2 linked regions of the Caenorhabditis elegans genome follow. The protein of the gene in region 1 purifies or fractionates together with the protein of each later gene. This does not show direct contact. Each region holds a gene or a part of one and is shown on either strand. Other genes may lie near its edges.

Region 1 (8,336 bases):
AAAATTTTTCAAAAATTAGAGTCCGAGTTGTAGAAAATCGATTTTTTAAAGGTTCAGTGATAATTTTCAGTAAGTTCAATTTAAAATGCCGAATTTCAGTAGTTTTTTCCCGAAAATGACCCAACCTGAAGCCGGAACGGTCGAATACCGAGAAGCACAAGTCTCTCGAACAAAGATTGGCTCAATCCGGCAATCGCCGCCTTTTTACATATAACAACCGGTCCCAGTTGACAGTGATCTCCAACTAAAACCAATTGCCTGACTCCTCTCATAATAGAGACCAAAATCTCGGGCTCTGTCGCCTGTGTGCTCTCATCAATGAGCACAGTTCTCGTACGGATCTTCGACAATCTCGCATCAGCCGCCGATGAGCACGTACAACAGATGACGTCAGCGGCGGCGAGAAGCTCATGCTCTTTGACTCTTTTCAATTGCATATATCTCAAATCATCCTTAAACTCGAGCTCCCCGGCTTCATCTTTCAACTGAATCAGCTTCTGAAGCTCCGCACCGCCCATCACTTTTAGCTGATGTTGAAGCGTCAAGTAGGGTACTGTAGTCTCACTGTGCTCTCGAGATCTCGCACAAAGCCTCACAACCTTCAATCCCGTCTTGTGAATCTTCTCGGCCAAGTGATCGACGGCGATGTTGCTCGGCGAGCACACGAGCACGTTTCCCTCGGTTTTCTGCACCAAATGATAGACGATTGTCGCCGAAACTACGGTTTTTCCAGTTCCCGGAGGTCCTTGAATCAAGCTTAAAGGTCGGGTGAGCACCTGCTTCACTGCCTGCATCTGGGAGCTATTAAGCTCGGGGAGTCCAGCGACAGATAGCCGACGCGGTAGATCAAACTTGAGCATCATTTCCTCGGCTGGATGACCCAGAAGCTTCTGGTAGAGATATGGAGATATTGCTTTGGAGTCGTTGAGCAGCGCCGCAAGAGCCTTGTACTGTCGCTCGAAGGTGGTGGCGTTCCAGACGACGTCGACGGTGAACATAATCCGACTCTCCATCACTGATTTGTCGACAGCTCCGCGGATTTCGATGCCTACCTCGTCGCCGTGGTCTGCAAATTTGTAAACGTGAAATTTTTTGGAGCTTTTTGTGCAATTTTTCTTGAAATTCACAGAAAAACCACTCGAAAATGGCCAGAAACGATGGAATTTGTGATTTTTTTGTTGTAAATTTGCAATTTTCAGATGATTTTTGAGCTCTTTGCCCAATTTTTCGTGCTAATTTCAAGAAAAATCGATCCAAAAGCGGGAAAAAAAATTTTTCCGAAGAATTTAAAGTTAAAAAAGCTCAAAAAAAAATTGATTTTGGTCATTTTCGAGTAGTTTTTCTTGTAATTTTCAAGAAAAAACCGACCGAAATTTTTTTTTTTGCAGATTTTTGGTGATGTAAATTGTACTTTCCCATAATTTCAACGATTTTCCAGAAGCTCAAAAGGTTAGAAATTTAGTTTATACTATTACGGGAACACAAAATTCTGAAAATGCGTATTACACAACATATTTGACGCGCAAAATATCTCGTAGCGAAAACTACAGTAATTCTTTAAATGACTACTGTAGCGTCGATTTACGGGCTCGATTTTCACTTTTTCGTTCGTGTGAAAATGAAAATCAAGCGCGTCGTAAATCGACCTACAGTAGTCATTTAAAGAATTACTGTAGTTTTCGCTACGAGATATTTTGCGCGTCAAATATGTTGTGTAATACGCATTTTCAGAATTTTGTGTTCCCGTAATAGTATAAACTAAATATCTAACCTTTTCAGCTTCTGGAAAATCGTTGAAATTACTGGAAAATACAATTTATATCAGGAAAAATCTCCAAAAAAAAAATTTTGGACAGTTATTTCTTGAAAATTCCAAGAAAAACTACTCAAAATTTTTATTTTTATTTTTCCCATCCCTTACTATCAGGAATCTTGAAAACACTTCCAATCTTGGTCCATTCCGATCCATCAACCGTCTGAGAATGTTTCAATCGAAGTTCATCGCCTTTCGCAAGCTTCATGACACCATCAGCAAATTGTGGAAGATGAAAGAACGCGAGAACCGATTGACGAAGTCCTTGTTCCCATCTAACAGTTCCGACTGCTTGTGATGCTGATTCTTTAACTCTTCGATCATATTCTGCTTCAATTGCAACTAATGGACGGAACACTTTCGAATAGTGATGAGCATCCACATATCTTAATTGAACATGATCCGGTTCTCGATCGAGTCCCGGTTTATTTAAATCGTCAACGGTTGCTTCTGGGTGATCACGCCAGAGCTCTTCCATTCGGACTGCTTGGGTAGCACTGGAAAATTTAGTTTTTCATATATATATATATATATATATAGCTATTTAAAAGTACTATACCACTTGTGTTTTTCCGGCTTTTTGCACCAATGCCGGTAGAAATTGAGAATTTTTTGCACGAAAATTCGAAAAAAAATTCAATTTTCAATTTCTTTTGGAAACTGGGAATAGATTTTTTATCAACAAAAAAATCGAAGCTATAGAAATATTAAAGGTGGTGTAGTCGAATTTTTTAAAATTGCTTTATTCAACTCAGAAAACACCGAATTTCATAGTGAAACTTCTCAAAAAACAAGTTATGACGGTTCAAAAAATGGCCTAAAATTAGTTAAAATTTGAAATTTGACCGACTTGTAAAGCGGCTGGAAACTATTTTTTTTTTGTAACCACCGTCAAATTTTGAGTATACAATTTAATTATCTTGCGTTTTCAACTCGATTTAGGTATTTTAAAGTCGATGGACGGCGAGATTTAGTTAAAAATTGTTAAAATTCGATCGCTCGGAAATTGCATTTTTGGTTGGAAATTCCTTTAATTATTATTTTAAAATTTTTCTCAAAAATCGATTTTCCTCCACTAACGTGATTTTCCTAGCTCTGGCCACCTGCTCCTCGCTGGGCACATTAACAATCCACGATAGCAGCTGTTTTTCAGCGATTACAGATTTCCAGTCCTCGGGCGACCAATTATCATCATTCTGGAATGCAATACTGGCGCACGGTGTTCTACAGATTATCACGACGACTTGATCCTTTTTTCCGGGGATGAAGCCGAGATTAAACACGTTTTTCGAACCACAACGATAGCATTCCAATTGAGTGTCACCACACGGTGAATCCTTATGCGTGTAGGCTTCCTTATGCTGACTCCGAACCATATGATGAACAATATGCCCGCCCGACGTTCCATCATTGGAATTACAGAACCATTTCCTGCAGACTGTGCATTTGGCGACACACAGAGGATCAGAGATTCCACAATAGCGACACGCGTGCTCCGGCAGCTTCTGCTGCTGCTGCTCTTCTGTCAGTGATTTTTCACTGTCCGACTCGTCGTCTTCCACGTCGTGAAATGGCAAATCGTTGGTGGTTCCATCGGTTCCTCCTGGCAGCAGATCTGTCGCCTGGAATATGGGTTTTTTTTTGTTGAGAATTTTGAAAAATTGACAAAAAAAATTGATTTTAAGGGACTTTTCTATGATTTTCTTGGTTTTTTTCCACTGAAATTTCCACTTTCAGAGGATTTTGAATAAAAATTTATTTAAAATTAAGATCTGTCGCCTGGAATAGGTGTTTTTTTTTGAGAGTCGAATTTTTAAAATTGCTTTGGAATTTTCTTGGAATTTTTTGTACGCTTTTGGGTCGATTTTCTTGAAATTAGCACGAAAAATTGTGGGCAAAGTGCTCAAAAATCATCTGAAAATTGCGATAAACAAAAATATTGGAAAAAAAAATCACAATTTCCAAGATTCCTGACAGTAAGGAATGAGAAAAATTCTTTTTAAAACAAGTTTTTGGTGATATAAATTATCTTTTCCAGAGCAAGCTCAACGTTAAGAAAGGTTAGAAAATTAGATTATACTATTACGGGAACACAAAATTCTAAGAATGCGTATTACACAACATATTTGACGCGCAAAATATCTCGTAGCGAAAACTACAGTAATTCTTTAAATGACTACTGTAGTGTCGATTTACGGAATCTCGATTTTGGCGAAGGAAAAATGAAAATCGAGCCCGTAAATCGACCTACAGTAGTCATTTAAAGAATTACTGTAGTTTTCGCTACGAGATATTTTGCGCGTCAAATATGTTGTGCAATACGCATTCTCAGAATTTTGTGTTCCCGTAATAGTATAATCTAATTTTCTAACCTTTTTTAACGTTGAGCTTCTAGAAAATCGTTGATATTGTTGGAAAAGATAATTTATATCACAAAACATCTCCAAAAAAAATTGGACGGTTTGTTTTCTTGAAAATTACAAGAAAAACTAATCGAAAATGGCCAAATTCAAAAAATTTTGCAATTTTTGCACAAAAATCTAATTTTTTCGAGCTTTTGGATCGATTTTTCTTGAAATTTGCACGAAAAATTGATTGGGCAAAGTGGGCAAAAAAGCATCTGAAAATTGCAAATTGACGGGATTATACTCATTTTCGAACAAAAATTGAAAATAAAAATCACAAATTCCATCGGTTTTGTCCATTTTCGAGTGGTTTTTTTTTCATGATTTTCATCGTTTTTTTCAGTGTGTAAAGTCTATCAATTCAAAGGATTTTGAATACAAATTTCTCTGAAAAATCATGTGAAAAACTTGATTTTTCAGCAAAATCCAGAATTTTCCTTCGATTTTTTGACACAAATGCGGCAATTTTCTACCTGAGAACTCTGCGTAGGCACACTAAACTGCTCATAGGCGAACTGAGAGTCCTGCGTGTTCCCAATAGAGACTCCATCGTCCTCGGGATCCACAAATGTGAGGGTTTCCCCGTGGCTTCTCGAATATTCGTCGTCCGAATCGTCCATTACTGGAAGAAAAGTGCGTTTTTGAGGGGTTTTGGAATGAGAAATCGATAGCATTCATGAGAAATTTGTCGGTATTCGAGTAAAATAGGTGAAAAAAGTACAAAAAAGCATTTTTCAAATTGCAAAATCTAACAATGAGCAATATTTCGTAATTTTTTACCACTTTTACACTTATTTTTGCAGATTTTTCATGTAAAAATTCAACATTTTTGCCGAAAATTGGCGGAAAACCTTCGAAAATGAGAACTGTGTTAATTTAATCACAAAGCGGGTGCATTTTTGGAAATTTCAACAATTAAAATTGAAAATTTTCAATTTCCGCTCACTTTTTATCGGAAAAAGGTAAAAATGCCTAAAATTTGAGCTCAAATTTGAAAAACAAACTGAAAAATCCCCCCAACTTTTAAAATGAGCAATATTTCATCATTTTAGATGATTTTAAGCGAAAATTGTGTGATTTTTAACAATTTAACCATGAAAATGCATATTTTTTCAACATTTTCATACAAAAAATGAGGTTTTGTTAGAAAAAATTGCGAAAAACGGTCGAAAAATGAAAAAATATGATAAAAACACCTCATTGCAAGGTGGGCGCACGGTTTTTGCAAGTGTGCCGCACGGAGTTTATGTTTTCTCGATTATTATTTTTCTTGGAAAATCGGAAAAAATCGCTGATAAGAACTGATTTTTATTGATTTGTATTGATTTTTCCTGGTTTTTAATGTCAATTCTATCTAAACTATCCCAAATATCCATCAAAAGCGCCGTGCAAAGCAGCAAACACTGGTAAGATCTGCAAAAATCTGCTGATTTTCCATTTTTCCATATATTTTCCCGTTTTTTGCAGCTTTTCCAGCTATCCATGGCTTCACAAACCGATTTCAAGGACAACAATACTCAAAACATGGCGAATTTGTGGGTTTGGAGCCGGTTTAGGAGCTGTAACCCTACGAAAAGCGGCATGTGCTCCGAAATTGAGCAAACGCATCGACCATTTGAGGACGACGGAGGATCAGAATGCGTCAATGACGGCCGGAGAGCTGTGGAATTTGATTAAACCCTTTTTCGGCTGGTTTTTCGCTGCAGTTGTGGTGAATTTTTCGATAAAAATCCGGTTGAAAACTGGGAAAAATCGAGAAAAATACGTATTTTTATAGTTAACTTACAAAAAATTGTGCAATTTTCACCTAAAATCTTGCTTTTTAATTTTATTTCAGGTTTCCTGTCAATTTTCCAGCAAAAAAACTTTAATTTCCGCATTAATTCGTATGAAATCAATGAAATTTCATAGTTAAATTGGAAAATGGCAACATTTTTGCTTAAAATTTGTAAAAAATCATGTTTTTTGGGCATTTTTGGTGATTTTCTTTCGATTTTTATGATTTTTCGGCGGTTTTTACCCAATTTCATTAGAAAAAATTGAAAAAATCTCAGTTTTCCCCTAATTCCTATTTGAATTTCCGCCAATTGAACTTGTTCGGTGGAGCGCGCTTGCATTATTTTTTTTATCATTATTTCATTGATTTTCTTCATTTTTAGGGGTTTTTGATCGGAATATGAACGAAATAAACAAGAAAAATGCAAAATGTTTATGAAAAAGTGACTAAAAATACCTAAAACTCCATGAATAATACAAATTTCAGGCTCGTCGTCCTCAGAACTCAAAAAATCACAGTTTTACGCATTTTCAGTTACTTTTTAACAAACATTTTGTATTTTTCTTGCTTTTTCAGTTCTTTTTTCCGATAAAAATGCACAAATAATGAAGAAAATCAGTGAAATAATAAAAAATAATTTTAAAAAATTAATGAAAATAATGCAAGTGCGCTCCAACGAACGAATCCAATTGGCGGAAATTCAATTAGGAATTAGGCAAAAACTGAGATTTTTTCAATTTTTTCTAATGAAATTGGGTGAAAACCGCCGAAATATCATAAAAATCGAAAGAAAATCACCAAAAATGCCCAAAAAACATGATTTTTTACAAATTTTAAGCAAAAATGTTGCCATTTTCCAATTTAACTATGAAATTTCATTGATTTCATACGAATTAATGATATTCGGTCATTATGGCCTCATAGGCATGTTTTAAAGCAATTTTCCCACAGAGTGGAGTCCACATTTAAAGAAAAAATTGGCTAAAAGTCGGTTTTGTCCGGATAAATTACAAAAAATTACAAAATTTTTGTTTTAAATCTCGGAATTTGAAGTTTTTCAGTTATTTTGGGGGGCTAAAAATTTTAATTTCTACATTAAATTGTACGAAAATCTTGTAATTTTTTCGGAATTTCACCAGAAAAAATTTTAAAAACAAAAAAATTTTAATTTTAGTCAATTTTTCCTTAAAAAATTGAGAAAAATTATCAGTTTTTTTTGCAGTGCGCCATCCTCTCAGCCTACATCAACATTCAAATTCCACTATGCCTGGGCGATTTGGTGAACGGAATCGTGAAAATCATCAAGGACGAGTCGAACAATTTACGATCTCATTTTGAACAGCTCAAGCCATCTGCTCTGCACTTAATGACACTATATGTTGCACAATCTGCTCTCACATTTCTTTATATCACATTTTTAACGGTTCTCGGAGAACGAATGGCGACGAAAATGCGGTCGGACTTGTTTCAGAAGCTATTGCACCATGATATGGCATTTTTTGATTCTCATGTAAGAGCGTGGGTGGCCGCGGTGAAATTTTGGTGGCCTAGTTTTTTAAATTCCGATTTTTTCGGTTTTTTTCAGTAAAAAAAATCTTTTTGAAAACTCGACATTTTTAATTTTTTGCAATTTAAAGATGGATTGACTCCAAAATTTCCCCTGATCCCCGAAAAAAAAATTGTCCCAAAAAATTTTTTTTTTTCAAATATTTGTTTTAGTTTTTGATTAATTTTCAGTATTTTTCTGCTTTAACTTTTTGAAAAATTAATTAGGGAAAACTCTAAAATGTTTGATTTTTGAATTTGATTTTTTTGGCAGTTTTCAGATAAAAAAACAGGATTTCCTTTTTTTCAATTTTAACTTTTTTAGAACAAAAATACAGGGTCTCGACACGACAATTTTTCGGTATAAATCAATCTGCGCCTTTAAAGAGGGTACTACTGTATTTTCGAGCTTTTCCTTTCTGCGAATTTTTTTCCCGAAATCGTGGGAAAAAAATAATTTTTACAACTACAGTAACCTTTAAAGGCGCACATCTTTCTGTATTTATAAGGAATTGTCGGAACCCAGAAATCCGTGTAATGTCTGAAAAAAAAATTGTCCCAAAAAAAATTTTTTTTTCAATTATTTGTTTTAGTTTTTGATTAATTTTCAGTATTTTTCTGCGTTAACTTTTTGAAAAATTAATTAGGGAAAACTCTAAAATTTTCTATTTTTCGTGTTTAATTTTCTCTAATTTTCAAAAATAAAATCAAAATTTAAAAAATTTACTCTAAAAAATTCTGAAAAAAACTTTAAATTTAATTTTTCTGCATAGTTTTCTTGTTTCCACTATTTTTA
Region 2 (6,321 bases), on another chromosome or scaffold:
AGCAGGAATAGTTGGAGGAAATAAATTATCATCGTCTTGGCATAGCACCTGCAAAGAGAAACTACGTAAACAATTCTCCGATTGAATTGAAAAATTGAAAAGTAAATGCGAACAGTTTTTTAATTGGAAAAAATAATTTTGGCAACGAAAACTTCTAGCCACGTGGCAAAATCTGAGCACTGGAAGTTTCTGAGACAATCAATCGGGAAACTGCGCGTTTAATATAAATTTATGCCCGCTCTTTGCCAGCTGGATTTGCCAAACGGCCAAAAAGATGGTTTCAAAGTTCCAAATGGCAAAAGTAAATTTTTTATTTGAATGAGACGTTTCACAACGCTTGCAACTTGAGCAATATTTAATCCACGTTGCAAAAGCACCGAGATTCTCTGCTCAAAAGCTTCTGCGACGTGGCATACGCCGGATAACACCATTATTCCAAATATTTTCAGAGATTTCAACCACACTGATCTAACCTAACCTGAGACCTTTTTTCTCATAATAGACGATGACCTTTTATTCTGCAAAAAAAATAAATGAATGAATGGGTCGCAATGGAAAAAGTGGTGATTGTGTGTGGTGGAAAAAGAACAGAAAGAAGTAGGATGGTGAAATATACGGGATAGAAGTGGGAGGAAAATGAAAATAATCATAAAGAGAGGTCGCATAATTTAACGATTATAATTTGTATTGTTTTGTTGTGGGAGGGACGGTGGTTAGAACTATTACAATACAGAGTTTTGTCTCGAGGGCTAAACATTTACAAATGAATGAGGAGAGATAGAGATTATTCGCGTGCTCGGGAACAAAAATGGAAAAATAAGACGATTGAGAAGTGGAAGATGTAGAGATTCCAATTTGACTAGCGATATGTTCGATTACAAGCCGAGTGCTGAAAATGTTCAATTTCAAATTCACTCTAAATTTTAAGACAACTGAAACTTACAGTTCTTGGCTTCCTCTGAAAAGTATCGAACGTCAAAGTCTGAATCTTTTCCGAGCTTCTCGAGCAGTGGCTTCACCTCGGACGTCAATGTACTGAAAATAGAAAATTGGGATAGTGAAAAAGATTTTCCTGTCACCTTGGGGTCAAGTTCTTTCCAATTCGCTTCAAACTCTTTGCGGCGTTGAATCTGACATTCGGCACGTCATCCTCGACAAGCTGAAATTAGAAAAATTACGATTTCTTTAAATAAAAAAGTAAAATTTCCCTACATCTTTCACAATTGGCATAATCTCCTTCAGAATCTGCTCCTGAGTCATCGCCTCACTGAGTGTATTCAAACAGAACAAGCATGTCATTCTCTGCAGGTAGTTGGTGTCCTTCTGAAGTTTCTGCATTTTTGGTACAATATTCGTGCTAGCCCATTGTCCTCCAAACTTCTGTGTCAGTTCCTTCATGATGAGGGTCGATGCCTCGCGGATTGAGAACACTGGAAAAAATTAAATTAAAAACATTTTTAAGAAAAAATCAAGTTACCATGGTCGGTAAGCCAGTTCAAACAAAGCGGAAGCAACTTCTCATCGAAGAATTCTTGTCCCAACTGGGAAGCAAGAAGTGGCATGAATTGAACAATTGCGAGTCGAACTCTCCATTTTCCATCCTCGGCCAATCCAACGATGGCTGGCAAGAGGGATGTGGACAATTGAGCTGCTCCGATCACTTCATTGACCTTATCAAGACTGGAAATAATATTGAGGCGAACTTCTGGGGTTTGATCGTTAAGCAACTGCATGTAGATTGGGAGAAGCTCAGAGACAGTTTGTTCCTTGCCAATCAGTGGAGCAAGTCCCATGATGACACCGGCGAGTTCCGACTTGACGAGCTGATTCCCATCAGTAACCAATTCCTTGGCAACGTTGAGCAGTGAGTTGCAGATAATGTTCTGACGCTTGTCCTCTGGCAAGTTGAGAGCGAATTCCTGAAGTCTCTGAGTGGCAGCACATCTAACCTCACCCTCTGGATCCTTGAGAAGGTTCGTGTACATGTTAACGAGATGTGTGGTATCCATATCCTCACCGAGGACATTCTGAATCTCGATAAGCTTCTCGGCAACCATATAACGAACTCTCCACGACTTGTCATCGAACAATTCAATGAGAATTGGCTCGATGAGTTTCTTCTTGTTAGCCTTATCGAGGAGAGTTCCGAAAGCGATGGCTGACTCGACAGTGAGCAAACGAACAGAATCTTGCTCATCAACATGAAGATCAGTGAGACTGGAGTGGAGACCCTCGATGACGGCAGTCTTCTCAAACACCTTTGCGAACTCTCCGAGCTTTGCAGCAGCAGCACGGCGAACCATTGGGGTGTCATCACGGCACAGGGTTCGGAACATGCTGAAAATAATTAATTTAGATTGCTTTAGTTATTCTTTTCTTAATTCTCACCTCTTCAATTCCGACTTGATAGCTGGACTGACACGTGGATAAACAACAGAGAAAAGCCCACAAGCCGAGGTACGGGATGTGAACCAGTCTCCAGTGGCCAAACGTCTGAGCATCGGCACGAAATGCTCCTCCAATGAGGCCGAGCTGTGCTTGTCGGCGATTTTGCGGAGACTCTCAACGGCTTTGTCACGGACCACGGTCTCCTCGACTGTGGCCAAGTTCTCAAGTGGAAGGAGAAGACAATGAACATGATCTGGACCACCGACCAATGGAGTGAAATTTCCGAGTTGCTCGGCGAGCACAAGCAGAACCTCATCTTCGTCGTAAATCGTGTCGGTCAAAAATTGGATGAGCTCGTTGCGTGTGCGCTCCACACCCAACGCCAAAGCGATTGTGGAGAGTTTGCGAATGCTGTTCAGTCGCAACGTGACATCTTCGTTGCGCAGCTCGTCAATGAGCACGGCAATCGGGTAGAGCGCGTCGTCAGTGGCTTCTTCGACAACCGACATGATGAAGAGTGCTGAAATTTGTTTTATGAAAATTAATCTCGCGGCTATTCAAAGGAGAAAGAACGGGAAGAGAAACGGATTATCATCGGGCATGAGGAGAACAAGAGAGAGAGAGGAGACGCAGTGAAGATAACACAGCAATGTGTTGAAATATTGATTACCGGGTGGTTTTTGGAGAAATAAATTGGAGAGAAAATAGAAAAATTGAGTATTTTGAAAGAACTTGCAGAATCTACGAATAGTCATCTTTGAATATCTGATATTAAGAAAATTAAATTCAAATTTAAGAATGTTCAGTGCTAGAAAACATATTTTTGTTGAAACATTATTATTTCTGTACGAAAATATAGAAAATCAATGAAATGGAATTGTTCAAAGAAGAAGAGTGTGATTTTTAAAGAAACTATTGGAATTTTCGAGAAATCAGTGAAAAACTCTACCACGTGGACAATATTTTCACTGATCTTTCGAAAATCAACTCTGAAACTCGTGAAATTTCGATATTAAGAAATCGCTATAGTGAACCTGACGAACATGCAAAAAAAGAGCGGCGAAAGGAGAAGAAGAGAAACAGCTGCGACAGTGATACGCAGAGAAGCAGAGAACGGCCATCTCTCTCTCACTGCAATAGCACAATCCATCGCGCCTGCGGTCGTAGAGCTCTCATCGATTTGTCGTCGGTTTCGGTGTACTGGACGTGGCGACGACAGAGGGAACAGCGCCGGAAAATGACTGAAAATGTCCTTAAAATAGAATATTTTCAGTGTAGAAGGGAGGATGAAAACACAGGCATCACGTGATTAGTGAACAGCCAGTTTTTTTCTGATATTTAAACAATAAAAAGGCTGAAAATTAATTTGATTCGAATTTTCAGGCAAAACGCGTGGGCATGCTGTTAGAAGAACATCATTAAACATTTAAAATCATCATGGTTTCCTGGTTTTCAAAAATTTCAAACAGGCGAACAAAAGAGAAAAGGACGTCAAAAGCTTTAATAAAATATGCAAAAGTGAGTGCACAATCGAGCTTTTGGTTCTCATTTTTCGCAAAAGCGTGGTGCTCTAGTACGTATTCTTCTCATTAGCTCAGTTTATATATTTACAGAACAGTACAATGGGAGACGGTGCGAATGTGTTCAACACATTCAGCTTCAACAAATGGGCAGACGGCAAGCGTGAAGAGGAGATAGATAAGGAAAGTAGACGGCGACGAGCCGAGCAGGTTTGTGGTGGCTCTCCAAGGTGTATACTAGTGGCTTAATGACAGATTAAACGACTGAAGGAAAGGCTTCGAAAGGAGAGAGCACTGCGTGAGGCTCAAGGTGATGGAGATCTTGATTTGGATGCATTGATTGAGGCGTTACAAAGAGGAGAAGTTATCAATATACGTATGTCAAAATTATTTATTTTACTATTTAAAAACAGTGATAGAATCTTAATCACATCAGGTTTCTAATTGTTACTAATTATGTTAACTGTTCTTACAACCAAGATTTATAACATGAATAGAGAAGGATATTTGATAATTTGGATCCTATTTCAGCTCAACAAACCGATGTAATTGTAACCGAACCTATCGAGGAAACTTCTAAAAGAAAACGAGGGGTGCCAGATAATTTGTCAGATGATTATATCTTTAATGAAATAAATCTCTACGCAAATCGCTCGATCGGCTTGAACAATATTGCAGAGCCGGTGGACATAGCGCCTGTTCCACTACAAAAATTAGGTGAGGAAATTCAAGAAAAACCAATTTAAAATCTACTGTAAATTCAGATCCACTCTCCTTCCGTTATAATCGAAGAAATCAGAATAACGAAATGATCGCCAATGAGGAGCAAATTGTTCAACACCGGCCGAATAACTTCAAGTTTAATAGAATGATACAGGATATTCAAAAATGATTTTTTTTTTCGAAATGATTAATAAATTCTTATACTCTCTCCAAATGATCACAGCAACTAGGCAGAAAAAATGAAGGATGACTCAAACGTTTTAAATTTCGAAACTATTGGAACTAAATGTGTATTTCGGAATAATTAATAAAATGGATTTTAAAAAACTTGTCAACCTCTCACTTCCGAATACAACCAATCTTCGATGAATGAGACAAAAAAGTTGTTTTCAAGAAATAGTTTCAGATTCGACCCTTACTTTGCTTAAAGGTTATTTGGACTTATTTAAAAAGTTATATTACTTTTATTTAATCGTATTTTGATTTAAAAATGTGCGCTTTTGGTGGGAGAAACAAATAAAAATAGCGAAATATTGCAAAAAATAAAAAAATAAGGATAAAAATTGGCGAAAAATGTTCGAAAATTCAGATTTGCGGTGGAGCGCGTTTGCATTGCAAAAACTCGCGCCAACCTAAAAAAGATTACCGCGCCCGCGAGTTCATATTTATTCAAATCAGCCCTGTTTTGAATTTATTTCAAGCAGAAAGTGCTTTTTCCCTTATTTACCACCTAAATACTACACCTCATATCTACTCAAACAAAATGTCTCGTGTCATAGGAAGACTTCCATCAACTCTAGAAGATAACGGACCCTCTGAAAATGAGCATTGCGTGGAGACAGGTAATTGTGTGTCAAAATTCAAATATGATTGACTTTTTCAAAGTATTCTCAGATGAGACCATCTCCATCTTTCCATGCTACAACCTCTATCCAAAGAAAAGCCTCAGGCTTTCAGTTTCCGGAAAGTAAGCTGCAATTATCTCTTAATTTTCTTAATTTTACGACATTTCAGCTCCGAAAAGCTAAAGTCGATAAATCTGAATTGCAAAAATCTCGTAGAAGATGAAATCGCTCCGATCAAGCGAAAAGACGCACGCAGTATTCAGAATCCGTTCAAAAAGTACAGTATTCCCGATGAGATCACTGAACAAATCTTTTCCAATTTGAAAAAGAAGGATCTTCTCTCGGCGATGCTCGTCTGTCATCGTTTTTACGGAATCGGACACAAATCGAGAAATTGGATTATCACCGACGCCCAGGATCGTCCTATTTCCGAAATTTCACTGATTGCGTTGTCACAACGAAAAATCAAAGTTCTTCGTCTGGCAGGAGCTAAAGTGAGAATTTTATTTTATTTCCTATAAAACTAACTGTTTCCAGGCCGATCGAATCCTTCGTGCCGATGAACGGCTCGTCGAAGTTGCACTGCTGAGCACCTCCCGCTTGGAGCTTCTCGATCTCTCTCGCACTAATCTCACTGCCCGCCAAATGCAGATTATGTTGAAACCATGCCAGAAGCTCAAATGCTTGTCAATTGAAGGAAATCAATTGGATGACCACGTGGCAATATGCATTGCAGAGAATCGCGGGCTCCGCGAGCTCGACATCTCGATGACCAACGGAATCACGGCAAATGGAGCCAGTTTGATCTTCAGAAATTGCAAAGAGTGAGGGATTTTTTAAAACTT

The links. Proteins that work in one complex are often made in the same cells at the same time.
Region 2: the proteins of smg-2 (region 1) and paa-1 purify together in Caenorhabditis elegans (affinity purification with western blotting, with the first as the bait; one study listed by BioGRID). This does not show direct contact.

The regions. Positions count from the first base shown.
Region 1 is NC_003279.8:1,172,977-1,181,312, reverse strand, and holds the start of smg-2 (Regulator of nonsense transcripts 1), read right to left. Parts: upstream 4,841-8,336; 5' UTR 4,839-4,840; coding exon 4,692-4,838; intron 3,436-4,691; coding exon 2,894-3,435; intron 2,311-2,893; coding exon 1,922-2,310; intron 1,067-1,921; coding exon 126-1,066; intron 1-125. Other genes in the region: haf-6 (Mitochondrial potassium channel ATP-binding subunit), read left to right, coding at 5,560-5,624, 5,686-5,929, 7,218-7,505. UniProt on the Caenorhabditis elegans protein: RNA-dependent helicase required for nonsense-mediated decay (NMD) of aberrant mRNAs containing premature stop codons and modulates the expression level of normal mRNAs.
Region 2 is NC_003281.10:5,447,317-5,453,637, reverse strand, and holds paa-1 (putative serine/threonine-protein phosphatase PP2A regulatory subunit), read right to left. Parts: upstream 2,909-6,321; 5' UTR 2,898-2,908; coding exon 2,389-2,897; intron 2,338-2,388; coding exon 1,478-2,337; intron 1,431-1,477; coding exon 1,213-1,430; intron 1,160-1,212; coding exon 1,080-1,159; intron 1,036-1,079; coding exon 944-1,035; intron 890-943; coding exon 876-889; 3' UTR 501-875; downstream 1-500. Other genes in the region: F48E8.4 (MRH domain-containing protein), read right to left, coding at 1-32; F48E8.8 (Hsp20/alpha crystallin family protein), read left to right, coding at 3,826-3,906, 4,002-4,118, 4,164-4,284, 4,440-4,625, 4,673-4,800; skpt-1 (F-box domain-containing protein), read left to right, coding at 5,395-5,473, 5,517-5,598, 5,646-5,970, 6,014-6,300. UniProt on the Caenorhabditis elegans protein: Acts as a scaffolding protein for phosphatase let-92 and its regulatory subunits.